Struthio camelus: one gene and its partners. The protein of the gene in region 3 purifies or fractionates together with the protein of the main gene of each other region. This does not show direct contact. Links are inferred from orthologs where the notes say so. Each region holds a gene or a part of one and is shown on either strand. Other genes may lie near its edges.

Region 1 (7,264 bases), about 75 Mb from region 3:
GTCCTGCAGTTCTTCGAAGCACATTGTTGCCAGCAACAATGGAAGTTGCTCTGTAAAGCTATGACTCAACAGACAAGGGTCTTCCTACAAGCTACAGGGAAAAAAAAAAAGCTTTGGATTCAAAACTGTGAAACAAGATCTTATGTTGTAGAACTTCCGCTCCTTAAATCAACATTTTCATTTGCAACTACTGCATATTTAACGTGCATCACAGATGATATACAGTTCTATAACATACTAGCATATGCTGTAGCAGTTGGATTTAAAGCAAGGCTGGAAACAGCAGAAAAAAAGGGCTACTTCTGCTGAGGTTATTTTCTAAAATAATGTCCAATACTAGTTTTGGCCCACAAAGTAAAGCTATTTAACCATATGCAAGGAGATGTAAAATTTTGAAAGAGTTACCCAAGAAGTATAAAAAGGTCTAGATAGCATAAAAGGGGGTTGAAGAGAAAAGAATAATATGTAGTAGCAAAGAAACGATGGCGCCATTGTCTACGGCAGCAAAACCACTGTTTCCCGAGGGCAACTGAACAGATTGGGCCATTGCATCTGGAAATGCCGACTCAGTATGGCAAAAAGCCAGCTACTGACTGTGCACCCTGACTTAACAGTAGCCAGTTTCTTCAGCAAACTGGAAGAGAATACCAGTTTTGTGTCTGTTAAAGCAAACTTCTAACGACCTCATTCAGCAAGACATCCCAAGGCAACCCTGGTTAGAAACATATCGAACACTCTATCATATAACTGAAACAGTAAGGTATTAATAATCTTGTGGTTAAGATTCAACTGAAAGCTACAAATACAATTCAGAATCTAGAGTTATAATAAAATCTGAGATTTTTCTGTTTTCAAAGTGGCTAAACACATCCACGCAATATTACAAACTGACTTTCTGAAGGCTTTTGGAAACAATGGAACTAATCTAATCATACTGTGCATCTTGTATGCAAAATTTGTTTCCTTCACAATAGTAACAAATTCATATAACTGAAAGCACAACTGAAAGCACAACAAAGCTTTCATACAACACTGGAGGAAACAGCAGTAGCAGGCAGGGTGTGGATGAAAGTTAACTGTCAAAATCTGATGACGACCACCATAGAATTTCATTTCATCCTATATTATTTTTACATACCTCAAGGGGGGGGGGGGAATCTTATTACCAAAAAAAAAAAAAAAACCCCACACAGGACAGAGGGAGAGGAGTGCTTTTATTTCTTTCTACAGAAATCAAAAAGAAGAAAAAATCACCCCTGGAATAATTTATTGTGACACATAACAACATCTTTACCCCATCACCTATAAATACACATCTGTCCATCATGTCCAGCTTCCTAGATTTAAGACTGGCAGACTAAGAAGACAGCGAGATGAGGAACATCTGTGGAACAAATCTCCCTGTCAGAGTAAAGTAGTCAGACTAGATCCCCAAGGTACAAAAACAAAGACAAGAGTCTAGATGAGGTATCATGGCAATAAAGTCTCACTGAACAGAACACAGTAAAAGTTAATGAAGGAAAAACACATAATCCTGTGAGAACAAAAAGTAAAGCAAGTCCAAGGCCACAGTGTCCTAATAAGGACTCCTAGGAAAACGCAGTTCAAGCATGAGCATACAGAGACGGGAAAACAAACGTTTCAGTGAAAATGGCTATTGTGAGAATGAGAAAAAACGAACAGGACAGTGACAAGATGATGAAGCGTTACCAGGAAAAAAAGAGGAAAAAACAGACAGTTATTAGAAGTCAGTTTCTGCAAGCCGGAAGAGATTTTAAAAAGACATGAAGTCACAGAGGGCAGGAGCGCTCACAGGAGAAAGAGCTTCACCTAGAAGAAGCACTAGCGGAAGAATTCCCAGGCAGTGAGATACATGTGGAAACAGGAAATAATCTCAAAGCACCAAGTAGAAAGTGTAGAACAGGAACGGTATATAGGGCTGTTAGGGGGATAACTAAGAAAAGGATTGTCTATAGACAGGACGATACCAGTAAAGCAAGAGAGAAATCACAGAACAAAAAGCACCACGAGAGAAGGAAGACCGCTAGGGCGAGAGAAGTCCAGGGGCAGTTTGAAAGGGACACGAGAGGTGATGGCGACAAAGACCAAGCCTGTGCACATCCCCGAACAAACGCAGGTTTCTCAGAAGCCCTAGGAGAAAAGTATCGCAGCGCTCTTGGGAAGAGGACACAGGAGTGCCTCAGAGCAGGTTTCCCTCGGGGCAGGAAGGCAGGTCTGTGCCAGCAGGGCGAGCCAGGGAGGCCTTCCCCGAGGGGGCCGAGCCGGGTGTCCCGCACACCCGACGGCGGGGGGGGCGGGGGGGGGGCGGCGCGCGGCGGCGCGGGGGGAGGGGTAACGGCCACAGGGCTTCTGTGGAGACGGAGCGGGGGGAGGGGGCGGCTCCGCCGGGAGAGCTGCCGCCTGTCTCGGCGGGGGGAACCAGCCGGGGGGGCGGTGGGGGGGGAAGCAAAACCTGAGAGACGTTACCGGGAAAGGGAGCGGGCGGGCAAAAAACGGGAGGGAAAGAAACCGCCGCCGGCGGGAGAAGCGTGAGCGGCGCGTGTCCCGCGGAGGGGGGGGGGGTGGGCTCGCCCCGCGGCGGCGGCGAGACAGGGATCCTAGCCGGGGGGGGGGGGCGGACAACGTTAACGGCGGCCGAGGGGAAGGCTCCGTCTGGGGAGGAGCGGGCGGGCGCTGAGCGGGTGGGGGAGGCTCCGTCCCGCCGGGTCCGGGCTCTCCGTACTCACTTTTTGTGCGGCGGCGGGTGCTTGTCCCTCCTGCCGGCCGCCGCGGGCTGCTTGGGCCGCCGCCTGCGGGCCTGCAGGGCCAGCACTGCGGGGAGAAGAGAAGGAGGAGAGCGCGGGGTTAGCGGCCGGCGCGCTGCGCTGCGCTGCGCTGCGCTGCCCTCCCCTCGCTCCCGCCCCGCGGGACCCGCCGGCCGGCCCGGTACCTTTGCGCGAGCTCATCGCCTCGCGCCGCGCCGCGCGCTCCTCCGCGCGCGCACCGCTCGCCCCGCCCCTCCCGCCGCGCCGCGTCCGCGCGCCGCCACCGCGCGCCAGCCGCGTCCGCGCGCCGGGCACCGGCCGGCAAAGCGGCGGCACCTCCCCCCCGCAAACCCTTCCCCGACCGGCTACTGCGCAGGCGCAGCTCTGCCGGCGGGGCCGCGGCCGGAAGGGCGGGGGCGGGGCGGCGGCAGGTGGCGGCGCGGGCCCGGCGGGAGCGCACCTGGCGGCCCGCAGCGCCCCCCGCCGCCGCCGCCGCCCCCCCCCCTTTCTGAGCGGGCGGGGCAGGTCGGTGCCGGGCCTGGGGCCGCCGGTGAACCCGCGGGCCCCGGGGCGCCTCTTGGCTGGCGCCCGGCGAGGACGAGGACCCGAGGCCTTTACCTGGCGTGACCGGCCCTTAACTTGGAACCTGTTGGGCTCCGTCGCGTCTCACCAAGCGATTCTGCAAGCAGTTCGCTGGGGGCTTATTTATGTAAAATACTACTCCCCTGTGTATTAAAATATATATATATATGTATATATTATATATACATATATATATATATATACAGAAAAGGGGGATGCATTCAAGCACGGGGTGATGACGCTCTTCCCCTTGGTCAGCCCAGCCTGCCGCCTCTGCCTGGGCTGTGCTGTTGCCCGAGGAGTGCAAGTGCTTTCCGCAGGAGAACGGCGCCCGGCGCTCAACTCCTCCTCGTACAAGAGCTTCTTCCCGCTCTTAACCTGGCTTTCCCACGCAATGAGAGTTATGCTGCCAGTTCCTGCTGAATAGCTGTCAAAGCCCCTAGCTGATTTCAATCCCGTTTGATAAGGTTTTCAAAGAAATTGTCTTCTTGGAGATTTTAGGAAATAGAGGACCTGATAAAGGGAAAAGATACTACTCGTACTTGCAGAGCAGGTACTCACACCTTGTACGTAAGGTTATACCGCTACCCACGGGGACATTCTTGCTCTCCCATCAACTGCTCTGCTTTTGCCCCTTACGTGGGCCCAGGCCCCTCACCGGGGTATCTGTGCGGTGAGTTCTACCACTTCAGTGAACCAAATGAAAACTAATTCTGCCAACCCCAAAAAATACTAGTTTGCAATTGGGATAGCAAGCTGATCCCCCCTCCCTCCCCCATTGCTGCGTAATTGCTCAGAGTGGACAAAAGAGAAGGAGAAAAGCCTAGTGGGAGCGGAAGTGTCGATCTGCCCTTTTGGCAGCCGCCTGAAGCTGGATCAGCTTTAGCTTATCACGAAACTGTAGGGTTACATGCCAGAACCAATTACCCTCATGACATAAAGCCAGAGAAATTAGATGTCCTTAATTCTGGTTCTAAGTTCGTTGATTGGCATCACTGACAGTTATTTAACTCTACTTTTTTTTTTTTCTCTCTGCAGATCGTAACAGAAATACAGTGTCTTGCTGCTCATGATACCAGGTTCTATTCAGATTTGGCCTAGTCATGACCTGTTGAAAATTGCCACTTCTTATTTGTGCTTTGCATTGCATAGCTACATTTGAATAGTGTTAGGATTTGGAGATTTTGTGTAGTCTATAAATTCTGCTTGATGCAGAAGATGATCTGGGCCATACTGAAAACTCCAGTCGTCTAGCTTCTCCTTTATCTCCGTGTAAGACTGGAATTCAAAGGCATAATGACAGAAAGGTAACAGTGGGCAGTTATTACATTTTGATGGCACACCTTCCTCCCTAAATGCCAAGAGAAAGAATCCACAAGGATGAAGATCTCAGAGGAGATGTGGTCAAGGTATGATGAGTGAAGGTAACGGGCAGCGATCACTAGTCTTATGTAATTGGATCATAAAGGTTTCAGCTAGACAGAATAATTGAATCCCTGGCTGCAGTCAGTTCAGCTTAGTAACAGGACAGGAACAGAAAGATAGCATCCATTCCTTCCTAGCAGGTTCCATATAAAGCCAGACAACTCAGACATACCACAATATATAATACTTTCTGTCCGACTGGAGAGCCTAACAGACAGAAAACAATAGGACCACAAAGCTCCTAAGCTACAACTGTCATGATGCACCACAGCTGCATTTCTAAATCAAAACAGTTTTTGTTTTGCATCCTCCATCATAGAAGATCACAGGAAAAAAAACATTTCCAGTAGAATCTATTATTGTGTAACATGTAATGTTAGCATGCTGCATGTCTCCCTTTCTGTGGTTAGTCCAGTTCAATATGATAGCACAGCAATGTAGTCAGTCCGATAGATCAGGCAACAGAAGGCTGTACTGAAATTGCGAAGGCTTTCTGCTCAGAAAATGTAGATGCATGAAAATTAATAGTATTTGAATGTTGAAAAGCAGATTACATATCTCCCCTTTTTGTCCAGGCTATTTTTAGCTTCATTGGTTCATTGTGCTGCTGCACAAATACTTGTGCCTCTATAGAAGATGCTAGAAACAAGCAGCGGTTGGTGGAGAAAATGGTGAGACTACTTTTTTCTTTTTCAGTGGCAGTGTTGGCTGAAAGCGATCTTGTAGCCATGGCTATGGAGTGGAAATCGTATCAGGGTCCCGAACGTCTTTTCAGCTACTCATGTGTAATTCTATTTACTTCAATAGGAGATTTGTATGTAGAACTGATTGGACAATTAGGTCTTAGATAACATCAGTGAGCTTTGCTTACGTCAACAGGGTTATAAATTTGCCAAATCTGGAGTCAGGAAGGAATTTCCCTCACAGGCAACATAATGTCAGCAACCTAATCAGGGTGAGGGAACAATCTGCTAGCGCCGAGGGAAGGAATTACGTTAGGATCAGGTGGGTGTATTCCACACAGTCAATATCTTTCCATTCCAATGGACATATATTTCTGGACTGTATTCTTCCTGCTTTTTCTTTTTTTTCAGAAGAGCCTCTTAGACGATGCTCACACAGAAGTGCAAAAAACTCACTGAGACTCCATATGTACGTATAGAGGCTTACCATGTGCAGTTAACTAAACTGGAGAGTAAATTAAGGTTAGTAGAAGCTAAACATATTTTGAAAACCAGGAAACTGTATTTCTCAGACTCTGAGAGTGTGGCTTATGCATATTCCTGGCTTATGCATATTCCAGAGGACCCAAGCAGGGAGTGAAAGTTCAGGGTCAAATATTTAATGGAATAATGTGAGGTATGTTAAACCACCTCATTTTATAGATTTGTGTATTTTTTCAGATTCATATTTCTTTAAAAATATGCTGTAATTCCCTTTGAGCTTGCAATTTGTGAAGCAATTCGAAAGAGAATGAAAGACTCAGGTTTTTGTCTTAATTATGAAAACCTTAGTAAAGGTACTTTCAGCGAAGGCAAACAAGCTGCTCACATGAATAAGGTTAATGTGATAAAGTATTCACTGGATCAGTCTACGTTTGACAAAAATAAAGAAGGGAGACTAAAGGGAAGGGACTCCATTTCAAAAAATACAGAGAGTGGTCATTAAGAATAAACGTACCCTGCATTATATCTATTCGAATTCACTCATTTCAGTGGAGTTCTCCATTCTTATTTCATTATGTCTTATTATATATATTATATATATACTTAACTGTTTCAAAAATCAACAATGAGTCAAGAGAGAGGATATCCTGAATAGTGAAAGAAGGCTTTTATAAATAAACAATATAAATTAAAGACAATGGACTGGGACAGAATGTATTTGGGTCTGGCTGTCTCTCCCTGAACATAATATTGGAACAGGTGCCTGTTTAATTATAAGGATTACCATAGAGCTCATTCACTCCGGGGAAGGGCACGGTGAGGTTTAGTCATATGACTGCCCCAACAGGAGGAACAACAGCAGCAGCAGCAGCAGCAGCAGCAGGTATAGATGATCTTCGGTACAAATATTAGGGGGGAGGCAGGAGAAAATGTCAAATTATGAGATTATATTTTTACCTGTTTATAATGTAGTTTGAACCAGACATTTGATACCTGCTAGATGTGTGCTTCGTTTCCTTTTCACCTAACTTTAAAACACTTCACTTATACAAAGAGGCATTCAATTTTCAGACATGAGTGAAATACATTTGTACAGAATAAAAAAATAACCTAGCAGCAATCCTATAAATATCATATTGTCTGCTTTCTGAGAATAATACAAAACTCTTCCTTGAGCAGAGAGATGTTAGAAGCTGCTGCCCTGGAGTTCTGATTTATGTACCAGTTCATTTCAGCATTACTTTTCCCAGTGTGTGGTGGCACGCTCCCTGAACTGCACTTTCTTAGAAATCAGGATATTGGCCAATTTCATGCTGCTCTCGCACA
Region 2 (6,900 bases), about 52 Mb from region 3:
CGCATTTAAAGTTTGATCTTCCACCACATGCTCTGTTCTAAGAGTTTCAGTTGGCTAGTCAACTCTAGAAGATAGTTAACGAAACAGCCATCTCAGAAGATCACTTCAAATACCATAACTCAATTAAAAAAAAAACAAGCTTTATTTAAAAATAGCTTCAACTAACATTAAGTAACATTAAGAATTAATATATAGCTGTGTAGAAAGTATGAAGTCTCATTTATGCGGAGTTGTTTTGCTCTTTGTTTTTAAACTGGTACACTATGTTTAGTAGTGATCTGATCTTACTACAAGTAGCAGAGCACGGTCCTTTACAGCAAGGTCATACAGGTATACATTCCTCTCACTAACACAGTCTATTCCCTTTCAAGTATCAAATACTTAAAAGGGCAGAGACCGCTTACAGGAAAAAGCTGCAGCAGCTTCTTCCTGGAACTCACGACCAAACTTCTATATGAAAGCAGCATTTTATACTTGCCTGGACTCCAAGAAGGTACACATTCATAGAAGTAATCTACTCAGGGACTATTTTATATTTTGCACAAGAAAATGGTGATTCAGAATCCATACCGAATTATCATGACAGGAAAAATATGAATTGAACTTCAAAAAAATATTCCCCCTCCCCTCCCAAGAGGAAGGTACAACGAAAGTGGTCACACTTCAAGTAGGAAGTACTGCTATTGCAAAAATACTAACACGGTCAGGGGTATGTAGACATGCCTTAACAATGAAAGCTTTCACAGCATTTTGACTATAGATGTTAATGGTTAGAACAATTAGTATTTAAAGAATCTCATTTACAGCACTGTTTTAGTCATATAGAACATTCTGATAGCACACAGGAAGCCAGCTACATACTTCATTTTGATTCCCTTAAATTTTCTCCCTAGTAAAATAAATAAAGTAAAAGATCATCTCTTGCATTCTTTTGAAGCTTGCCACAAGTCTTGAATATATTTACATCCTCTTAGGATCTGAAACCTTTACAATTACGTATACAAAGCATACTTAAAAGGAACATCTCTGTAATGGTTACTTATCAAACTTTTAAACTGGACTAGAAAGTTCTTCCTTTGGGGAGTAACAGATTAGGTCTTGATTTCAGGCATACTCTTACTGGCCAGAAATTCTCTGCGAGGACTCAAGTCTTCTTGCTCCCTCAAATTGTTCTTTAGAAGAGCCAAATCTCCGAAGGGCTCAAAAGCTCAGCCAGCGGAGATGATCGGGCACGCACATCCCACGGCTTCCAGCTCCGCAGCGAAGACACCAGAGCTGTAACTTAAACCTCTTCAATCCCTTCCTGGGGTCACGGCAGAGTGACAAAGCACTCCTCCTACGGCGTGCCGCCGCTGCAGCGCTGGGCGGCCGCGCACGCCGCTGCCTTTCAGCGTGCTGAGAGCAGCTGAGCAGGCAGGTACGTGGGCAGGGCCCTCCCCTCACGCTGCAGTTTAACAGCTTACGGCCACTTTCTCCCTCACCACAGGTATAAGAAGCAGGACACCGACCGAGACAGCTTCCGCACCAGCGTGCGTGCAAGAGCCCTGTAAGCTAAAGCTTAAGTAGAAAAGAAAAAGCCTGGTATTTTTGAGAAGAACCAGCCCCCCCACCCCCCCACCCCCAGCCCTGGCCGCCTCACAGCGATGCGGCAGGCCCGGGGCGGGGGGGTCGGGCAGCCAGGCAAGGCTGCGGCGCCCCCCTCCCCGCTTCCCTAACGGCTGCGGCGGCGGCGTCGGGCGGAGGCGAACCGGTAGGGCGGCTCGGGAGAGCCCGGCGCCAGCCAGGCAAGCGGCGGCGCCACCGCCCTGCCCGCCCCCCCGCGCCGGGCTGAGTCACCCCCTCACCGCGCGCCCCCCACCCCGGCCGTTACCTTCCCGGTCACTCCGCCATCACGGCGGCGCTGCCGGCTCCGACCCCCGCAGCTCCGAGGCCGCCACGAGCATAGGGAGCGGGCCAGGCCGCGCCGCCTCGGTTGGCGGCGAGAGAAGGAGGAGGCGGAGGCGGCCCGAGGGGAGGCGCCGCCGCCGCCCTCGCGCGTGCGAAACGGCCGCCCCGGGAAAGAAAAACGCCCCCACCCTTTGAGCCCGCCCGCCAGCAGCGGGGCGGCTAGCCACGCCGTCGGACTACAACTCCCGGCGTGCTCTGCGGCCCCCCCTCCGCGCCTGCGCGAAAAGGAGGGGCCAGCCACCCGACAAGGCAGCGACGAAGCTTTCCGCACTCACCTCCCCTCTGCCACCCGGCTGCGGGCCGCAGAGCATGCCGGGTTATACCGCCTCCCTGGCCGCGCGGCGGCCCCGCCCCGCCCCGCCCCGCCGCGGGGCCCCTCGGGAAAGCAGGGGCGGAGGCGGCCCGGCCCGCCCGAAGCGCGGGCAGCGGCTGCTAATGGCTGCTAATTACGCTCAGGCAGGCACGAAGGCAGCGTGGCGCCAGCTTCACCCACCGCTTTGGCTAGGCAGGATGCCATCGGCGAGGCGGGCAGGTGCAAGGTGGAAGTATTTTATGCGCACCCAAGAGGCACCGTGTATCTATCAAAAATGTATTTTTTCCCCTAAAACACGCTTTACCCGCTAGTCGTTAAAGATGAAGTTTTAACAGATAGCTACGAGATAGTCCTGCGTGTGGCTGTAAAGTCGCTTAATCGTAAATCAAGACTCATCTGCTCCATCCAGAAGCTCACTCTAGATCTTGAAGTTTTGTTTCGTTCTCCCTCCTTTGTATGTCATCAGCAATAAAGCTGAAAGTATTAGTAGCTGGTCATGTCACTGCATGTTAAGCTAAGACACAACATATTCCTTTGAAATGATGTTAGCATCCTAATTCTGACCAGAATAACTCGTTCAATAACTGGCACAAAAAGGGCCTAAGCTCCCATCCTACAAAAGCACCAGCACACACTCATCTTTAAGCAGACGAAGAATGCAACGGATCTGACTGCTACTAATGTCACATTGGTCTCTTTTCTGCAAATTTTTGTGCCACCATCAAATTTAGGAGTGTTTTAGCATGATTAAACGGGTGCATGTTTGTAAAATGAGACTTAAAAGAACAAACACAAAAGAAGTGCAGTAATAAGCATTTAGGAAATTATTTGCCTCGCCAGAGCAGTTTGTATTGTTAATAGTCTCTTTCAAGAAAAAAGAAAAGTTCCAAAGCTATGGAAGGACAATTTTCAAAACCATAGCCCACACAACATTTAAGGAGAGACCCTTACCCATCGTTACTGCAGAGCCATTTCTAATTAACAGTACACAGGAGTACAACCATTCAGGAAAAACTATAGGGAAAAGATACCACGTCAAAAACAAACCATAAAATATGGTAAACGATACCATACTAAAACATCATAAAAATATAAGATTGTAGCGCTGTTAGGGAATTCACATTCACTGCAGCTTGCAACCTCATTCTCTCACGGGATCGCCGGCCAAGGGCCACCTCTGGGCGCCGTGACCTGCTGCCTCCCCTGCCTCTCACGACGGCAGCACGGGGGGAGGCAGGACGTGAGTCACCTGCCCGCCTCGGACGCGGACACGCGCAACACGTGTTCGTGCCAAACCGGGCGACGGATCCGCCAAAAAAGTCATCGCCACCAAAAATCCAGCAGTGCCGAAGGGCACGGGGCGGCCCTGCGCGGGGCACGGCAACGGGGCAAGCCCACGCGCCGAGAGCCGCGCGCACCCGCGGCCGCCCTGACAAGGCGAGAGGGCCGCAGGGCTGCGCGGGGGTGGGGGAAGGGGGAAGGGAAGGACGAGGCCCCGCGGGCCCGGCGACCTCCCGCCGCCGCCGCCGCCGCCTCTCCGGCCACGCGGGCCCCCCGGCTCGCCCCGGAAGCAGCGCCGGGCGGCCGCTCGCGCAGACTGACGGCTGCCTCGCCCAATCACGCTCTGCCCGCAGCCAATGGGCGGAGAGGGTGCCGCGGGGGCGGGGCCTCCCGCGGGCGGGTGGAGGGACGCTCCTGCGCGTTAGCTCTTTCCTTTTCTGGGGGCCGCCGAGGAGGCAGCACCATGAAGGCGTCGGGCACCGTGAGTGAGGCCCCGCGGCCCGGGCGCGCCGCTGGTGGGGTCGCGGCGGCTGTCGGGAGCGCGGTGGCGAGGCCTTGCGGCGCTGGAGCAGGGCCTCCGGGGGCCGCGGCCCGGCCCGGAGGCGAGCAGCCAACATGGCGGCGGCGCCGCTCCTAGCCGGCGTGTGAGGAGGCCGCGGCGCCTCTGGCCGGGGATCGCGGCCCGGGCGGGCGGTTCCGCTCCGCTCCTCTTAGCGGGAGCCGGTGGCCTCTATCCTCGGCGGTCCCCCCTTGCTCCCGCGGCTGCGTTCTCGGGCGGAGGCGCGGCGCCTTGCGGGGGGCAGAGTGGGCCGGCGCGGGGGTCGCTCCGTCGCGGCGCTGTGGCGGGCGGCGAGCAGGAGGTTCACTGCGGCGCTGTCTCTCGTCCCCCTGCAGCTGCGGGAGTACAAGGTGGTCGGGCGCTGCCTGCCCACGCCGAAATGCCGGACTCCGCCTCTCTACCGGATGCGGATCTTCGCCCCCAACCATGTTGTCGCCAAATCCCGGTTCTGGTATTTCGTTTCCCAGCTGAAGAAGATGAAGAAGTCTTCTGGAGAGATTGTGTACTGTGGCCAGGTACGACATAGAAAAACCTGACACTCTTGGAGGCTTTTCAGGAATTCTGGCTCGTTTACGTAGAAGGCATTTAGATGAAATACTGTTACTAATGAAGTCGAACTCTTTTTTACCTTCAGCTACTGTGAAGCTGGGCAGCCCCCTGCAAGTGATTGCATGTGTCAAATGAACTAAAAAACTTAAATTCACAACATTCAGAATTCTGCTAAAATAGATCACTACTGCAGGTAGTGCTGTTGTCTGTTTTTTATGGTTGCTTCATTATGGCATATATCTCTTAGGAACCATCTGGACCTTCATAATCTTTGGAAAATAGATACTTGCTTGCATATACTCTCACATTTTGTTGCTTGGAGAACGTTCTTTTCCGTTTCCTTCAAAGATGATTTAACAGCTGAAATCTAAATGTATTTTTTCATTTCCACATTGAATTACCAGAGACTTCCCTGTACTATGATGGTATGGGGAAAGAGAGCAAATAGTTGTCTTGGACATTAAAGCTATCTGTATTGCTTTACATTACAGCTGTAACATGTTTATTCCTAAACTTGTAAAATGCTGATAATGTACTGTCTCTAACCATTTCTGTGCCCTTGTGTAATTCCAGGTATATGAGAAGTCCCCTCTGCGGGTAAAAAACTTTGGTATTTGGCTACGCTATGATTCTCGTAGTGGAACTCACAACATGTACAGGGAGTACAGGGATTTGACCACAGCTGGTGCTGTCACTCAGTGCTGTAAGTACATATAACCATTTGAGATAAAATGTTAGGACCGGTTTACGAGCAAAAGTTTAAATCCTAAACTGGTCGTAAAGCTTAAGTAGGAGTGCTGACTTGATCCATGATAAGGTAGCTTAAACACTGGAAAAATAAAGTGGTGGGAAGCTGCTGGAGAAACCCATAGATGTGTAGGTATAATGTATGTAGTATTTTGTTCGTTAGCACTCCTTAGGCAATTTCTGTAGCTGAAAATATTCCCACTTGATCTCGGTGTGACTCTTTACAGTTCTAATCATCAATTTTGCTATATAGGTGAAGAGTTTTGAGACTGTTAGGGGCTGTATATATTTCTTGTATTATACTTACTGTTAAAAATAATCAAAAATATTTTTCCAAGTCTTTTGAAAAGATTATTGCTGATACTATGTGGAACATACTAGGATCTGGCTTCTGGAGAGCTAGGTTTCCTAAACACTGTTTTTTCCCTAATTTGCATTGCTCAAAGATCTAGTAGTCTCAGTTCAGAGAGCATCACGGGTTGCTCTGATTTTTAGTCTGTTATCTAAAGGAGTTGAGAGAGAGATCATTTTTATAGCTGAGGCTGTTGACATTTGAATTCAGTGTTCAAAACACTGTAAAATGCACACAAAAACCCAAAGAATATTGTTCCCAGTAATGATGTTCTTGTCATGTGTGCAAATATTATATGTATCTTGTCGCCTTTCAACAGCTGAAGTGCTATTGAAAGTGAAATTTAAGGTTCTACATGTAACTTATAATACGTTCTTTTAATTAACATACTGTAGGACTACTTAAGAGGTCTGAGAACCTACTTAATTTGTCATTACGTAATGACTTTGATACCTTTATGCTCCAGACTGCTTTTGAAGGATAGGTTTTTAATGGGTGTTTTGCATCTTCACAGGAAGTACTGTAAGCTCAAGAATATTTAGCTAGCCATGTCTTATGTGCAAAATAGCTATTGACGTTGTGGTTTTAAGGTAGTGATTAAAAAAACAAAGCTAGGAACTGCAGTTCTCTTTCCTTGCATCTGCCTCTTGGAAGGCGAAGGGAGCGTTTGTTGAAATTCAGTTCTTATTTTTCCTGTAATGATATTTCAGTATTGATTCTGAATCACCATTTTCTTTTGCAAAACATAACAAGTCCCTGAGTAGATTACTTCTGTAAATGTGTACCTTCTTGAAATCGGGCAAGAATAAAATGACGTTCACGTAGAAGCTTGGTCATACGTTCCAGGAAGAAGCTGCTGCTGCTGCATGTTGATTCTCCGGTCAGTGCTTCAGACATCACTGACTAATAATACTCTTTCTGATATGCGGAGTTGCCTGAAAATTTGGAAAGTGGTGGACACAAAAAGATGGTATTAAAATTTTGAACTGGGAATGTCTTAAGTCATTTTAGGATTTATTTTTAATGAGTTCGGTTGTTACAGATCGTGATATGGGAGCCCGTCATCGTGCCCGTGCTCACTCTATTCAGATCATGAAAGTTGAGGAAATTGCTGCTAGCAAGTGCCGTAGACCAGCAGTCAAGCAGTTCCAT
Region 3 (7,586 bases):
GGAAGGGCCAGAGAACTTCAGGTAAAAACGAAGTTCTAGGGAGGCAGCCAAATCCCCACCAGTCAGTAAAGATATGGGCTGGGCAGCATCCTACCTCAGGAAGTGGGAAGATGTCCATGAGCTTCTTGAGCAAGAAGTCACTGTAGGAATAGTAAGCAGCCATGTCCCGGCGCAGCAATGCAAGGTACTCCTGTCGCGTGCGTCCTTCCTCTCGCTTCACCCCAAAGTCCTGCAGCACCTCCATGTTGCTCTTGATGCGCTGGTGAATGATGTGCAGGTCAGGCGGCTCAGCAGGTAGAAGGACCATTAAGAATTGTAAACGACCAAGGAATTCACACGCAGGCCCTTCAAAAGCACAGCCAGTCATGCAAAACTCCTGAGTCACTGCATACAGCACCTGCACCAGAAAGGCCTTACTGGAGTGTGCACATCTACCATGTATCGTTTGCTACGCTTTCACTGGAGTTAGGCAGAAGGGAGATTCAAAGGATAGCAACCAGATAAGGAAGCGCACAAGGCAGGGAAAATAAGGTATTTGCAAAAATTCGGTTTGGTTAGTCTAGAAAAGCAGAAAAGGGGTGGGAAGAAGACACGTGGAAAAGGCTTTTCAATACTGAAAACATTTCCTGTAACGCAAAGGAGACTAAAAGTTCTCCAGAAGCAATTAGAGAGAGTAGAGAAGAAAGAGGTGAAAAAGATCACTTAAGCCCAAGAACACGCGCTTTGGATGCTGGAATTGCTGTCATCAGAGGCTCTAAGAATGAGTTAGACAAACACATACCCAGGAATCCAGGTAGAAGGGAATTAACTATGCGATAGACACCCACATGCATTTAGGACTGGAAAAAAAGATTGAGGGCAAGGTCCAGGCTCCATACAGGGAATAACAGGTTCCCTGACCGTGCTGTACAGAGGTGTAGAACCACATAGCTACCACTATCTGTTAGGGCAATTCAACTAAAAACGGCTTGTCAGGCACCAACGCTCATAATAAAATGTAAATGAAGCTCTACAGTTGCACTCAAGCTCTGTAGTGGCACAGCTACGTGGTTTACAGAGGCCACAGATGAAAAGGATATTCTCTCTCTCAATCTGTTCATCAGTTGGCAATTTGAACTGCTCATCTACATCCAGATTGAGCTGCAGATCCGCACTCTCTTCTTCCTTCTGCTCCTTCTTCTGCCTGCCTGCCTCTTCTGCCACCTCTTCCTCTTCACTGTCATCTTCACTAAGGCCTCCCCTAGGTATAAAAAAAATATAGTTTTTTTACACAATAGCAGGACTCCTCAGACACTTTACAACTATCATCTCTTGGATGACAGAAGAACGAACAACCCAGGCTCCTCGTGTTCCAACCAGGAAAGACTGTGCTGACCCCTGACGCTCTCAAATCCTCACCTATCAGATTTCTGCTTCAGGGCGGCTTTTTCAATGGGCAGCAACTAAACAGAGAGACAAAATATTAATGAAACAGTATCAGCTAGTATCAACTACCCCTTTAATCTGTGCCATCTCTATGAAATATACCTGCTCTGTTTAAAAAGAACAACAGATGAAGGCATTGAGTGTTCTGCTGAGACCAGTTGCTAACTTAAAATTCCCTTCTTGTGAAGGGAAGAAGGATAAAGCTGTTCTCCACCTCGCCATCCAGCCTTCCAGTAAAGTTACCCTTTCCCCACCAGGGCTGCTGGGTCCTTACAGCCAGCAAAGCCAAGTTTCTTCTGCAAAATCGAGGGCAAAAAGCTCATACCTCTTCTTCCTCAGAGGAAGAGGCACCATAATCATCGACCATCTCCTCGCTGCTCCCATCCTCCTCCATCTCCCAGGTGCCCTCTTCCACCTCATCATCACTGGATGACTCCACGTTGTTGTCTTCAGACTGGATTTTCTTGGCTTTGGCTGGAGTCAGCCATTTTGAATTGCCATCGCTGAAGCCAGACTGGCAACGATGGGGTTGCGCTACTACCTTTTTGGGGTGTTTCTCCTTCGATGGGGATACCTGCTCCTTAACTGCAGGCAGAATAAGCAGTTAAGTTAGGCAGTATTTTATATGACAGCTCTCCCAGTTTTTGACTTGTTATGCAAAGCAGCCTCCTTCACTCTAGCCCGGAGCTGCTTGTCTAAGAGAAGAGACTGCTCCCCATACTGGTTTGCTCAAGCACAAAGATCCCCCCCCAACCAAACCCGAAAAAGAAACGACTAGAATTGCCAAAGAAAAATACAGCTACTAAGTCTTTTTAGTGCCTGTCCTGACATACCGCAGCAGCCCTATTTCTCAAATCTGTGTTTATCCCTTCTTCCCGCCGTGAGAGCTTACTCGGACGCACGTGATTTAACGCAGCACGCTTAAAAGCCTCAGCGCCCCAAGGTGCTTACGATACCCACGACGCGAGCGGAATAAAAGGCAGAAAGAGGCTAACGCACAGAAGAGGGGGGCTTTTTACCGATTTCTCCTTTGCTAAAGGCGCTCCCCGCTGCATCGGAGAGCAGGTGGTGGAACTCAGTGGAAAGACTGGCTTGAAGCGGGGCAGCCCGCCGGGGCCCCGCACTCACCTCCGGGCTCCCGCCCCCCGCGCCGCTCCTCGCCCGCCGCCCGCCGCCTCTTCGCAGCCCTGCAGCGGGAGGGGAAGCGGCCGTCAGCGGCGCCCGGCCCCGAGCCAGCCCCGCGCCCTCCCCCGCCGCCGCCCTCACCTCCTGCGCCCGTGGCTGGACAGCTTCCTCCGGCCGGGCTCTGCCTCTGCGGGAGGGAGAAGCGCCGTTAGGTCGGCGGCCCCGGGACGGCGCTGCCCGGGCGCCCCCAGGCCGGGCCGGGCTCACCTGGCGGCAGGAAGCGGGCCAGCTCCACCTCGGCCCCGCGCTGCTTGCGGGCCTTGCGCCCAGGGCCGCGCTTCTCCTTCCGCGCGGGGTCCAGCTTCCGCCCCATGGCGGCGCGGCCGCGGGTGGCGCAGCCGGCTCCGCGCTCCCCCGCCGCCGCCGCACGTGCCGCCCTGCCCCCACCCGGCCCCGGCCGCGCACGCGCCGAGCCGCGGCTCCGCCCCCTGCCCCGGGGCGGGCAGCCCAGCTCATTGGTTGGTCACCGCTTCCGCCGCTCGCCGAGTGGCTGAGCGCCGGCCCAGCCTGTGACGGCAGCGGCCCCCGGCCCCGCCCCCGCGCGTGGCGTGGCCCGGGCTCGGCCGGGCGCAGGCGCCGCCCGCGGCCGGGAGCGGCAGAGGTATGCGGGCTGCAAGCGTCAGGGGAACGGTAGACGGTTCAAGCTTCACCAGGCGTAGGCTTTAGGTTGTAATGACAAAGACCCAAGTGAAATTCTAGGAAATGACTAAAGCGTCAGGCAACAGCAAGAGGGGTCAGTGCCAATGCAAGAAAGGTGTAGCATACTAGAAGCCCTGCTTTTTACAGGGCAACAGGACAAGAGCAGCAGTAGTTTGCTGATAATAATACAGGGAGAGGGAGTGAGCCAGCTGGTCACTCTTGGTCATCTAGCATTCTCCAGAAAAGCTAAATTAGAGGCAATAAAATAAAATACAAGGAAACTTTATTTTTCAGTCCTATCAAGATTTTCCTTTTTTTTTTTTTTCTCTCCTTCCTTCAAGCTGCTTATTAGTGGACAAGTCCAGTCAGTTTTTGTATTAAAAAGGATTTTGATGGAGGTAGCTTTGTCTCTGTCCTGGCTTTTGCTTGGTCTCACCTGTGCACTCATCTCAGTAAACAAACTCAAAATAAAATTAAAAACAAAAACTGGAATTCCAGGCCGAGGCAGCGAGCAACACAGCCAGGTTCTCCATGTAACAGACAGGGCGCTGTGGCCTCCAGTCACTATATACAGAGTCCATCATACATCCCCCTCTCTCCTAAGCACACTCTTTCCTCCAACAGCTGGCTGCAGAAGGAGTTCCTTCTCCCAGAGACCTGTAGAGCAGCTTCCATGGAGGGAAACAGCACCCAGTCAGGAATGTCAGGCAGAGGGGTAGAGTGTGAAGGGGTGGGTCACTTCAGCTTGGCCAAAAGGTCAACAGCACTGGGCCAGGGACTCATTGCTGCTGGGCCACCTGTAGGGCAAAAGACAATGCCATCTGAGACACAATACTCGTCAATATACCCTAGCTCACGAGGGCAGCTCCCTACAGAGCCCCTACTCCTCCATACAATAGACAAGCCAGGCAGGGCTGCTCACTCAGAGAGAGTACTTACTTGCTGGGGAGGTGGTGGTGGAGGGGGTTCACTGCTGCGGTTGGCTAGTCGGCTGAGGATGTTGCGCTCTGACATCTGGAGGCGCACTGCCACAGGTGGGATACGGGCAATGGTGGCAGGCAAACGAGTCACATCTGCCTTCATATCACTCAAAAGCTCCTCCAGCTGCTTCAGAACTGGAAGAAAAAGAGGCTTGGGTTCAAAGAGAGAAATTGCCCCTGCCTGGGGAAGAGGCCAAAGGGGACAGCAATACTAAACAAATATCCACCCTTGCTTAACACGCTATCACCTTTGTGCAGCACAGCATTCGCCGGTTTATTCCCAGCCATTGACTCCTTGGATAGGTGCTGGTGGCTCTCAGCCAGGCATTCCACCTCTGCAAAACGTGTATTCAGAGCCATAGAAGGGTGAGATGGGTCTTCCGACATGTTCAGATAGGCAGCTCGCCGCAGCTGCTCCTCAATCACCAGTGCTTGCTCCAGGAGCTGCAACAGACAGGGTAAGTAGTAAAGTCTTCCAGCATTTGCCTGAAAAGCAGGCTATTTGCACCCTTCACTTGCTGCCTCCTGTTCCAGTTCCCCACTCTCATGAGGTGAGATTCGGCAGGTAAACCTCATTTCCCAGGCTTCTGCTTATATTGGCATAAAGGCTAAATATTACAAAACAAAGGCTCCATTAAGCTAAGCCAGGTAAGAAAAACAGGGCATGTCCTAGCCCATTTAATAACAAAAATAAGCAAGTCTTCCAGGATTCTTACTCCTCTGCTTACATGACTGATTCTTAAAGGCTTTTCAAAATACAGCAGAAATTTTTTTTTTTTTTTTAAAAACTCTTTCTGTACAGGGCAATGGGGATGGAGCTTTCTTCTTGAACTGAAGTATCCCGAACTACTTACAGTAAGAGTCTAAAAATTGTTAAGCATGCCAGACAGGGACATTTGAAGATATCAGATTAGACGGTGCAAAGCAGATAAGCCAAACTACACTGAATCTCAGGGCAAAATATTCATTCAGAATTACACGGGTTGCTCCCAAATCACCTCCAGAATGAAACTATGGTCACTCACAAGTACTTTAGGCAGAGACTGAAGGCAGCCCTTTCACCAATCCAATGTTATACAATGTTTCCAAGTTCTACTTAGGCATATTGAGTGGGCTGTAGCACACCAAGCAGAAGCTGTGGTGGAAACAGACACTAACACCTCCTGAATGCCAGTTGCTGAAGAAACATTTAGAGAGCGCTGAACCAAGCTCCCCAACATGCTGCTTCTAGGGTAAAGTGCTCCTATCATGAAGCTACCATAGGATCCTAACAAATATTGCTCTTTTTAGCCATCAACACAAAAGATTGCAAAAGCCTTCATCTAAGTGGAAAATCAGAACACCGAGCTCAACAGGACAGTTTGTCTTGCTCTCAGGGGTCCAGCTGGCTGAAAGACTTGTCACACTGAGCAGAGAGCCTTACCTTAAATCTCCTTGCCAAGAACTTGTTCTTTATTTCCAGGAAGTTGCCCCTGTTCATCTCACCCTTGAAGGGTTCATTGAGGATGGCGTAACGTGGATCATTCTGAATATCTTGCCAACGGGCATAGCCATGACTGAGATGGGATGAGCTCAGGCAAACAAAGGCAGTGAGAACAAGGGAATGCACAGCCCAGGCAGATACAGTTCTTAAGAGGGGTGGGGAAAGGAGGTGCAGAGAAGAGGGGAAACAAGGGCAAAGGAAAAGCAGTAAGAGCAGCATCCTGCTCACCAAGTCTTAACTGTGCTGACAGAAAACCCCTCCTCCCACCAAGCCAGGACTCTTGTGAAAGATAAAGTGCGCTCTCACTTAACGTGTCCCAGGCAGACCCAAAGGGGTTGCCTCTTCACAATGAGGGCTTATTCTGAAGGGGAGACAGCTCGTCTGTCAGGGTAAGGATACTTGATAATCCCAGCAAGGAGCCAGTAGTCATGACGCCGATGCCAGATCTCATAGGTCTTCTTTGTAACAGTCGCAGCCCGCTCTTCATTCTGCCACAGGGAGTGTAATTCTGGAAAGGCAAGAAGAGTTCCAAGTTATTATTTCACCAAGACAAGCAGAGGCAGGTAAATAAGTTCAAGCACATACAGGTCTCATACCAGTAAAGCCACCATCAGCTATGTTGAACATGAAGCGCTGCTTTACTGCCTTCTTGTGCCTTTCATCTACTGACTCTTTCAGCATCTCTCCATTCTGCAGCATCACCACGTCTCTCTTATCATCATCCCTTTTCTCTTCTGTACACATAGGAAACAATTAGGAAGGATATGGCAGATACCACAGCAAGTTGGACCCACAAGGAACCCTTGCTGGAGAGGGGATAAAGAAAAGAATGGAATCATCATAGCTCACCTTTCTCATCCAGAGTGATTATAGGAGGTTCAGGGGGTGGCTCAACAGATGCTCTGTCTTCCACTTTCTCCACATCAGCTACAGAAAAGGAGGGGAACATGAGATGTAGCTGGCAAGTCCAAGAATTCAGCCTGTGAAACCTAACACTTCCCTGCCTCCCTGCTCAAAGCCCTGAAATAGCCCCCTTGATTATCTACACATGCCTGTTTCTTTAGGGTGAAGTATTGAGGCAGGGAAGAGTAGCTTGAAGATACTACTTGTGATTTTTTTTTTTTTTTTTTTAATTGCTGTTAAGGGTCTTAGCCTTCCTAGAGATACCTTTGCTTTCCACTTCCATGGGCTCATCTGGTCTTTCCTTCACTTCTGGTTCCTCTAATTTTTTTTCATCTGCCTCTGCAGGGTTCACTGGAGATTTTGCTTCCTGCGGTGGTGTCTCCACAGGCTGAGCACACTGCTTAGGACAGAAATCATCAATGAGAAGAGAAGCAAAGCAGCATATGGTCAAAGCCAGTGAACTACTTCAGCACTATCAACAGAAGACAGTCAAAGCAGTTTGGAAAGTGTCTTACAAAGCAGACCAAGGGGAAGATACACAAAACTGTCAGGCCAGTTCTTCTAAGGACCTGAGAGTTAGCTTTCAGTGTTGTCCTAGGCAGAACTCAGCTCTGCCACAGAAGCTTTATTACACAGTAAAGTAAGGCAGAAGTAGAGATATTTGGAATTGCATGAGACAAACAAGCAACTGAGCACTCACCTCCATAGGAACCTCTGTTTCAGTAGCAGAGGCATTGAGCTCTTTCTCTGGTTCAGTTGCCTCTCCTTGCTCCTTGGTGTTTGCTCCTTCTTCTACCTTTATTCCCTCTTCTGTGTATTCCCCACCCCAGAGCAGCACGGCGCACAAGAGAAGGAGAGAAGCCATCAGTAAAGTCTTCCCCTCACTGTAACCAAGCACACATCTCCTTCACTCCCAGAGATTAGGCCCATCCAAATGGGACCAACATCACTCAAGAGGAAACCCCTTTCCT
Region 4 (6,936 bases), on a different chromosome or scaffold from region 3:
CTCTTAAGCTTCTGTCGAATCTTTTTAGGAGGTTAAAAAAAACAAAATGAGTCAGTAATGCAAAGGAAAATATGAGTACTTTATGATGGCTGTGCAACCCTCTTACAACAAAACTACTACCAAATCCCACTTACTACCCATGATAAATTAGTTCAATTACATAGAGTTTAAAATCACTAAGAATCAAAATACACCGAGCATAAATGAAGAGTGAGACTTAAACTGGGAAAAGAGATCACACGTTAATGCCACAGTTGACTGCAAATCTTAGGGCAAAGAGCACAAACACAGCTGACTTTACAAGCACTCTCACATACATGGAGAAAAAGTATTTTTAGTATTAGTTACACTTAGGAGAGACTACAAATTACACTCTTCTACCTTATTTTCCAGCCTGTTACGGAAACACCCCCGTTCCAAAGGGATACTTAAACAACCACAGAACAAATTCCAAACGCAAACATTGTCACAGGCCTTTGCCACAGACATGAAGGTAATTATTAAGTGAACACAATCAAACCTCAAAGTTAGTTACCCAACACAAGCTAAAACCAATCTATAACACAGGAAAGAAAATAATCATTTAAACCACATACCTTCTGCATCTGTTGGTCAGATTTGGCCATCTCTGCAAAATAATCATCTGGCCTTCTAGTAGGAACCTGGAGCTTACGCAACCTTGGTAGGGCATCCAGGACTGCGGCCTGAGCCTGTCGGTAACTAGAAAGACAACGCAACACCAGCTGAACGTCGCTGAGTAGCAAGAATATCTCACAACAGTGACAGAAATTCTGATCATATCAGCTAGTTGATACTAGATAAATATTTGTTATATCCCAGAGTTATAGCAACATTCTGTACCCTACCGCACCACTACTACTAAAAGCAATTTAGGTGCCAATACAATGTTAACATTGATAGCTTGCACTTACAGTTTATCCAGTTTTCAATTACAGTTTTACACACTGTATTGTACCAGGAGGGGAGAGGAGAAATTGAGAGAGAGAGAGAGAGAGAGAGAGAGAGAGAGAAAACTGCCATAACACATTCATGCAGAAAAATTCATATCCATAGTGCTGCAGCACAGGAACTTTTTAAAGAAAATCTCCAACAAATGATGAAGAGTTTGCTGCAAGGAAGGGAATTTTTTCCCATCACAAGACAAGTGAAACATAAAAGCATCCATTTGTAGTTATTTTGCCAAAAATTCAGCACTATCAAATATAAAATACTTGCATAACCTACAGTGTTTTTGGACCCACATTCTAGTATCCTTGAAATTAAGGCATCTTGAATGATATTGTTACATAGGTTGCTCAAGAATTCCTACAACAAACAACTGCAGCTTCAATCCAAGACCACTGAGCAGGTTAGAAAACACTCTAGAAATCTAGGAGCCTAAATATTTAATATTATATGACTATTTAATATTAATGAAGTAGTTTTCTAGTTAAATTTTGGCAAGATAAAACTACTTTAATTTTTAATTTTATTTTATTTAATTAAAAATTAGCCTTTTTAATTAAAAATTAGCATTCTTACTTTTAAGTGATACAGTAAAGCCGAGTTGCTGAAAACAAAGAGGTGAGATTTCAAGCTTCAGTGTTTCACTCAAATTGTCACACACACAATGCATCAGTGCTACAAAGCATGCTGTGGCACACAACACAGAGCAGAAGCGACAAGATACCAGCGACAGCCAGTACAGCAGCCTGCAGGATACTGTGAAACATGACAGTGAAGCAATACCAGAACTGCGTACAGGCAAGGGATTCCGAGCTTGTAGTAGTATGCTGAAACCCTACAAGAAATCTCTTTTTTTTTTACGCTTACAAGCTCATCTCTCTCTGGAAGTCATTCTCAGGGTCAACAGCATCTTTGTCAGAAGCACTGTGTGAGACTGGACCTGTGACATCTGTTACTGGACCCAAAGTCACATCCAGCCTTTCCACCCAAGCTAGCTGCCGCTTGAATTCAGAGAGGCACAGCTTCAAACCATCCTACGAAAAGGAAGCACAGCTCTCAATATCAAGGCACAAAACAAACTTTTCAAGGTTGGCACAAATGAACACCCAGGCCACAAAATGGGCTAGTCCTCAACGGCAGTAGGGTTGTACCCCAAATTATCACAGCAATGCTGGTTGGAAGGCACTCTGGAGACTATATAGTCCAAATCCCACTTGAAGCAGGACCAAAACCAACAGCAGATTGGGTCAACTTTGGCTTTATCCATCCAAGTCTTGCAGGCTTCCAAGGATGGAGATTACAACACACTCCTGAGTAACTCTTTGAAGCCCTGCACCATTTCCAGGTGCAGAATTCTGTCCTAACACCCAACCTGAACTTCCCAAGCCACAAGGTGCGACCCCCATGCCCTCCCGCACGCCCTGCTGCAAACAAGGGACACTTGGCTCCCTCGACTCTGTAGCTGCGCTTCACGTAACTCCAGCTGCGGCCACCTCGCCCAGCCAGGGCAGCCCGGCTCTCGCCGGGCCGGGGCCGGGGCCCGGCCACCTCGGCCCCCCGGCCCCGGCCGCCCCCCGACTCGCTCTGCCCCCTCCCCACCGCGGCGCTGCGCCCAACGCCCCCCGCCAGGGGAAGCAGGCCCCGGCCCGGCCCCACCCCCGGGCGCCCCGCCGAGGCCCCGGGCCGCTCACCACGTCGTTGGGCGCCCGCGGCCGCCCCTCCAGCACCACGTTGAGCCCCGGCTTCAGGGCGCCCCTCGAAAACGCCTCCTGGAGCTGCGGGGAGGAGAGCAGTCAGACGCCGCCGCCGCCGGGTCCCCCCCGGCCGGCGCTGCCCCGCGCCCTCGCGGCGGCGCTGCCCGCCCGCGGGTCACCTCCGAGTCCGAGAGAGCGGAGCCCTCCGACGCCGAGTCCGAGTCCCACGCCGCGTCCGAGAGCGAGCCGCGCCGCGCCATCATGCCGCCGCCGCCCCCCACCACGCGGAGCCGCCGCCGCTTCCGGCCGCGCGCGCGCACGCCGCCGCTTCCGGCGGGGCCGGGGCCGGGGCCGCGGTTGCCGTGGCGACGGCGGCGGCGGCGGCGGCGGCGGCGGCGGCGGCAGCATGTCGGTGGTGGTGGCGCAGCCCGTGGCCATCTTCGGCTGCCGCTCGCAGGTCGCCGGCGGCCTCTGCTTCTTCGACGAGCAGATCCTGCTGTACGCGGCGGGGGCCAACTGCGTCCAGTTCCACATCGAGCAGAAGTGGCAGAAGTTCATCCCAGGTGGCCCCGGCCCCGGCCCCGGCCCTGCCGCCGGCCGGGCCCTGCCGCCGCCCTGACCCCTCTCCTCCCCGCAGGCTCCGAGAAGAGCCAGGGCATGCAGGCGATGGCCATCAGCCCCAACCGGCGGTACCTGGCCATCTCGGAGACGGTGGCGGAGCAGCCGGCCGTGACGGTGCACGAGGTGTCGTTGGTGCCGTCGCGGCGGCGGAGGACGCTGGCCGCCGCCGCCGCCGAGCTCCCGGTGCAGGAGTTCGTGTCCCTGGCCTTCTCCCCCGACTCCCGCTACCTGGCGGCCGCCACCGGCCCCCCCGAGGTGCACCTCGCCTACTGGCTCTGGGAGAAGCAGCGGCTGATGGCGGCCATCCGCATCAAGGCCCCGGACGGCAGCCTCTGCCAGGTAACGGCTGCGGCCCTCGCATCGGGGCGCTGCCAGGCCCGGGGCCTCTTCCCAGCTTCCCCCCGTCCGCTCTGGGAGACAGGGGATGCACGCAAGTCTGTTTTTAAAACCGAGTCGCTGCAATGCTGGGCTGTTCTGGAAGGGTTTCCGCCACTCATTCATAATCTTGTGATTCACAGATGACTGATTCTTTTGGCAGTTGGCCCAAGGGAGCCTTTTGCACCATTTCAAAATGGAGGGGAAAAAAGTTGAAATTTCAGATTAAGAAGTACCACATGCCAGGTAGCAGCACTCAAAAATTGTCATGATACAGATAAAAGACAACCTAGAGAAAGAATAAGGGCTTACTACAGATACCACAACCAGCTCAGAGTTGCCACGAGCGCAAGGACGAGAGCACTTGACCTATAAAGAGGGGCTGAGGGAGCTGGGGGTGGGGGTTGCCTAGAAAAGGCTAATTGCTATCACCAGCTTCCCAGTGGGGGAATTGTAAAGAAGACGGAGACAGGTTGCTCACAGATATGCACAGCAAAATAATTAGAGGCAATGGTCACAAGCTGCTTAACCGAGAAATTCCTTCCTGGATATCAAGGCAGAAAAAAATCACAGTGAGGGTGGTGGAGCACTTGAAAACAGCCCAGAGAGATGTACTGTCTCTGTCCTTGGAGATACTCACAACTTGACTGGACGCGGCTCTGAGTGGCCTGATCCAGTAAGACCTCCTCTGAGGTGAGAGTTGGACCAGATGACGTCCAGAGGTCCCTTCTACCCTAAATTACTCTAGGCTTTTGGGATTCTAAAAAGGGGAGCTAGAACAGCCACAAATTAGCACTCTAAAAATGAACAAAGTTTCTTGTAGACAACAAATCAGCCAAGAGAATTGAGATCAACAGCCCCTTAAATATTCCACTATAACATGTGGAAATTACATCAGTCTGAAGAATAAGTGCAAAGTGTATTATTCTGTCACCAGTCAGAGTATCCTTCAAGCTTCTAAAGATTTGGAAGATAATTTCTAACTAAAAAACAACTCAGCTAAGTCCTATGTCCGGTCTCATTCTGACAGATAAGCATAATATAATTACTGACCTAGAAACTGGTATTTGTTTAGATCAAGGGGTCCTGAGTTTTCCCGTTGTCATTTAGCTTCTTTCTAGGGCCTGAGAGGGAGGAGAGGGATCTGCACTGTAGATTATGTACAGTTTCCATAGCCTTTCTTGGCATCTGCTATTGGCCTTTCTCAGCAATAGGATGCTGAGCTAAATGGATTTTTGCATTGACCCGTTATGGACGTCCACGTTCCTAAATCACACGAGATCTGTGGTATGTGGGCTGTACAGCTGATCCGCGTATATGCAGTTTGTTTGTTGTGTCCCTGCAGGAACACCCATTAAATATATTGGCCATGCTCAGTAGGCCTAACACATCACAGAATCACAGAATGGTTGAGGTACAACTACAAGCAGAGATTGGGTGAAATACTAACTTCATGAGCTCCATTCCTGCAGAGGAGAAAATGACTAGGAAAAATGACTAGGAGAAAATGAAGAGGAGATCACTGCTGTCTAAAGTCCCATTAAGCATGAAAACCTAGGTCTCTCTACCCCTGCTATCTTTTCATATTAGATGTTGAGACGGCTGCTCCTCTGTTTTCACCAATAAACACCTAATTATGCAAATTAATATGTGTAATGGATAAGAGTTGCCTCTCCTGAGATACAGAAATTCCATGTGGCCTTTAAGAATGAATAGCCTGCAACCTGAGAAACTTGCTGGTCAGCTGGAAAGATGTATTTTGGCCTTACTTCTGTCATTTGATCCCAAGGGCAGAATCTACTTCCTCTTCCATACTACATTGTGATTCAGATGGCCTCATCTGGCTTCTTACCTTAATAGAATTTATTTATAACATTCTGTGTAAAATTGGTACACTTAGTTTGGAAAAGAAGAAAACTACAGTATGTAGTAATGGTGGTTATTTCTTAGTCTCTTTTGTCTCTTTCTGTGAACCTTTTTTCCTAGCTTGTCTTCCTGTTTCTGATATCTGAAGTCTTTGGAACAGGTGTTATATTTGCTTATTTGCTTTTAAAGCTCTGAGAGTGTACATAGTCGAATGAAATAATTTCTCTCTCCTCTGTTCCACAGGTGAGCTTCAGTCCTCAAGACAATGCACAGGTTTGTATCACTGGAAATGGCATTTTTAAACTTTTTAGATGTAGTGAAGGAACTTTGAAGGCAACGAATTTACAAAAGGGAGAGCCGCAAAACTACCTATGCCATGCCTGGCTGTCTGCGGAGAAGGTTGTATGTGGCACTGACACAGGCAAACTTATCATATTTGAAAGTGGAGAGGTGCGCTGGGAGACAAGTGTTGAGTACAAAATACCACCCAGGGAAGCAGAAGAAGATGCAACAACAAAAGAACCTGGGAGGTAAGTCTTTGCGGCCATTACTAGTAGATTCATGCTTGTGCATGAAAATTACTTGCAGGTCTTTCATTTATTTCCTTTTTGTCCATTTTATGAATTGGTTATAATATTTTGGTTGCTGCTGATATGAATTTTTGTTTTGCTTTGTCCTTTTTTATTCCTCTTAAGTCTTACTGCATTTCCTGCTTACGATTCTTCTGATATCTCTTGTGATCTGCTCTCTGATGATAATGGCTCACAGCAGGATTCTTTGCCTCAAATACGTGCAGTTGCAGCTTATTCCAAAGGCTTTGCATGTTCATCTAGCCCGGGGGTTGTTCTTCTGTTTGAGAAGACTGAGGAAAAGGAAGTCTACAAGGAGAGTCAGGAAATCTGGGTAGGTGACTGTCTATGAAGGGGGGAGAAAAGCTTTTCCAAACGGTTACGCACCTGAGGCCTCTTCCTTTTTGCTTCTGATTCAGTTATCAATAATAAATTTTAGCACATCTTTAAAGCACACTATAAGCATTAGCTAACTGTCCTAGTGGTGCGGAAACAAAGTGACCTGTCAGAGGTCTCGCTGAAAGTCAATGACAGTTGACCTTTTGCAAGGTAGCTCTGCATGTTCCCACATGAGAAATGGGCTTTGAGTTAGCTGAACTTCAGGAAACCTTTAAGGATTTTTTCTTTTTCTGTTGAGCAGAACATCAGTTCTGAAGGACTGGGCTGCTTGTTTTTTTCCAGGGCAAAGCTTATTTCCCCTCAAATCCTTTTTATTATAACTGTAATGACACTTATGCACTCTTAACAGATTAAGTAATCTAGCACGATTTCTAACTGTTCTATAGAGAGAGCATTTACTTACTGAATTGCCTGGATGAGATCACTTAACTCTGTGATGATCTGGT

The links.
Region 1: the proteins of NOP2 (region 3) and SRPK2 purify together in Homo sapiens (affinity purification with mass spectrometry; 3 studies listed by BioGRID and IntAct, with this or other methods). This does not show direct contact. The link is inferred for Struthio camelus from reciprocal best matches to the Homo sapiens genes NOP2 and SRPK2.
Region 2: the proteins of NOP2 (region 3) and RPL18A purify together in Homo sapiens (affinity purification with mass spectrometry; 3 studies listed by BioGRID and IntAct, counting the BioPlex papers as one, with this or other methods). This does not show direct contact. The link is inferred for Struthio camelus from reciprocal best matches to the Homo sapiens genes NOP2 and RPL18A.
Region 4: the proteins of NOP2 (region 3) and EBNA1BP2 fractionate together in Homo sapiens (co-fractionation; 3 studies listed by BioGRID and IntAct, with this or other methods). This does not show direct contact. The link is inferred for Struthio camelus from reciprocal best matches to the Homo sapiens genes NOP2 and EBNA1BP2.

The regions. Positions count from the first base shown.
Region 1 is NC_090942.1:15,421,508-15,428,771, forward strand, and holds the start of SRPK2 (SRSF protein kinase 2), read right to left. Parts: upstream 3,022-7,264; 5' UTR 2,967-3,021; coding exon of another isoform or gene 2,951-2,966; intron 2,833-2,950; coding exon of another isoform or gene 2,748-2,832; intron 2,234-2,747; exon of another isoform or gene 1,262-2,233; intron 1-1,261. UniProt on the Homo sapiens protein: Serine/arginine-rich protein-specific kinase which specifically phosphorylates its substrates at serine residues located in regions rich in arginine/serine dipeptides, known as RS domains and is involved in the phosphorylation of SR splicing factors and the regulation of splicing.
Region 2 is NC_090942.1:38,551,941-38,558,840, reverse strand, and holds the start of RPL18A (large ribosomal subunit protein eL20), read left to right. Parts: upstream 1-3,882; 5' UTR 3,883-4,004; coding exon 4,005-4,022; intron 4,023-4,435; coding exon 4,436-4,615; intron 4,616-5,222; coding exon 5,223-5,352; intron 5,353-5,975; exon of another isoform or gene 5,976-6,107; intron 6,108-6,790; coding exon 6,791-6,900.
Region 3 is NC_090942.1:90,919,241-90,926,826, reverse strand, and holds the start of NOP2 (28S rRNA (cytosine(4447)-C(5))-methyltransferase), read right to left. Parts: upstream 3,010-7,586; 5' UTR 2,924-3,009; coding exon 2,818-2,923; intron 2,738-2,817; coding exon 2,692-2,737; intron 2,613-2,691; coding exon 2,554-2,612; intron 2,011-2,553; coding exon 1,751-2,010; intron 1,443-1,750; coding exon 1,399-1,442; intron 1,241-1,398; coding exon 1,080-1,240; intron 295-1,079; coding exon 95-294; intron 1-94. Other genes in the region: CHD4 (chromodomain-helicase-DNA-binding protein 4), read right to left, coding at 4,029-4,046, 4,189-4,364, 4,478-4,673, 5,653-5,785, 6,112-6,220, 6,309-6,446, 6,562-6,639, 6,880-7,012 and 1 more. UniProt on the Homo sapiens protein: S-adenosyl-L-methionine-dependent methyltransferase that specifically methylates the C(5) position of cytosine 4447 in 28S rRNA. Required for efficient rRNA processing and 60S ribosomal subunit biogenesis.
Region 4 is NC_090949.1:25,306,433-25,313,368, forward strand, and holds the start of EBNA1BP2 (probable rRNA-processing protein EBP2), read right to left. Parts: upstream 3,002-6,936; 5' UTR 2,924-3,001; coding exon 2,840-2,923; intron 2,742-2,839; coding exon 2,658-2,741; intron 2,001-2,657; coding exon 1,834-2,000; intron 721-1,833; coding exon 597-720; intron 21-596; coding exon 1-20. Other genes in the region: CFAP57 (cilia- and flagella-associated protein 57), read left to right, coding at 3,067-3,223, 3,298-3,620, 5,766-6,052, 6,218-6,425. UniProt on the Homo sapiens protein: Required for the processing of the 27S pre-rRNA.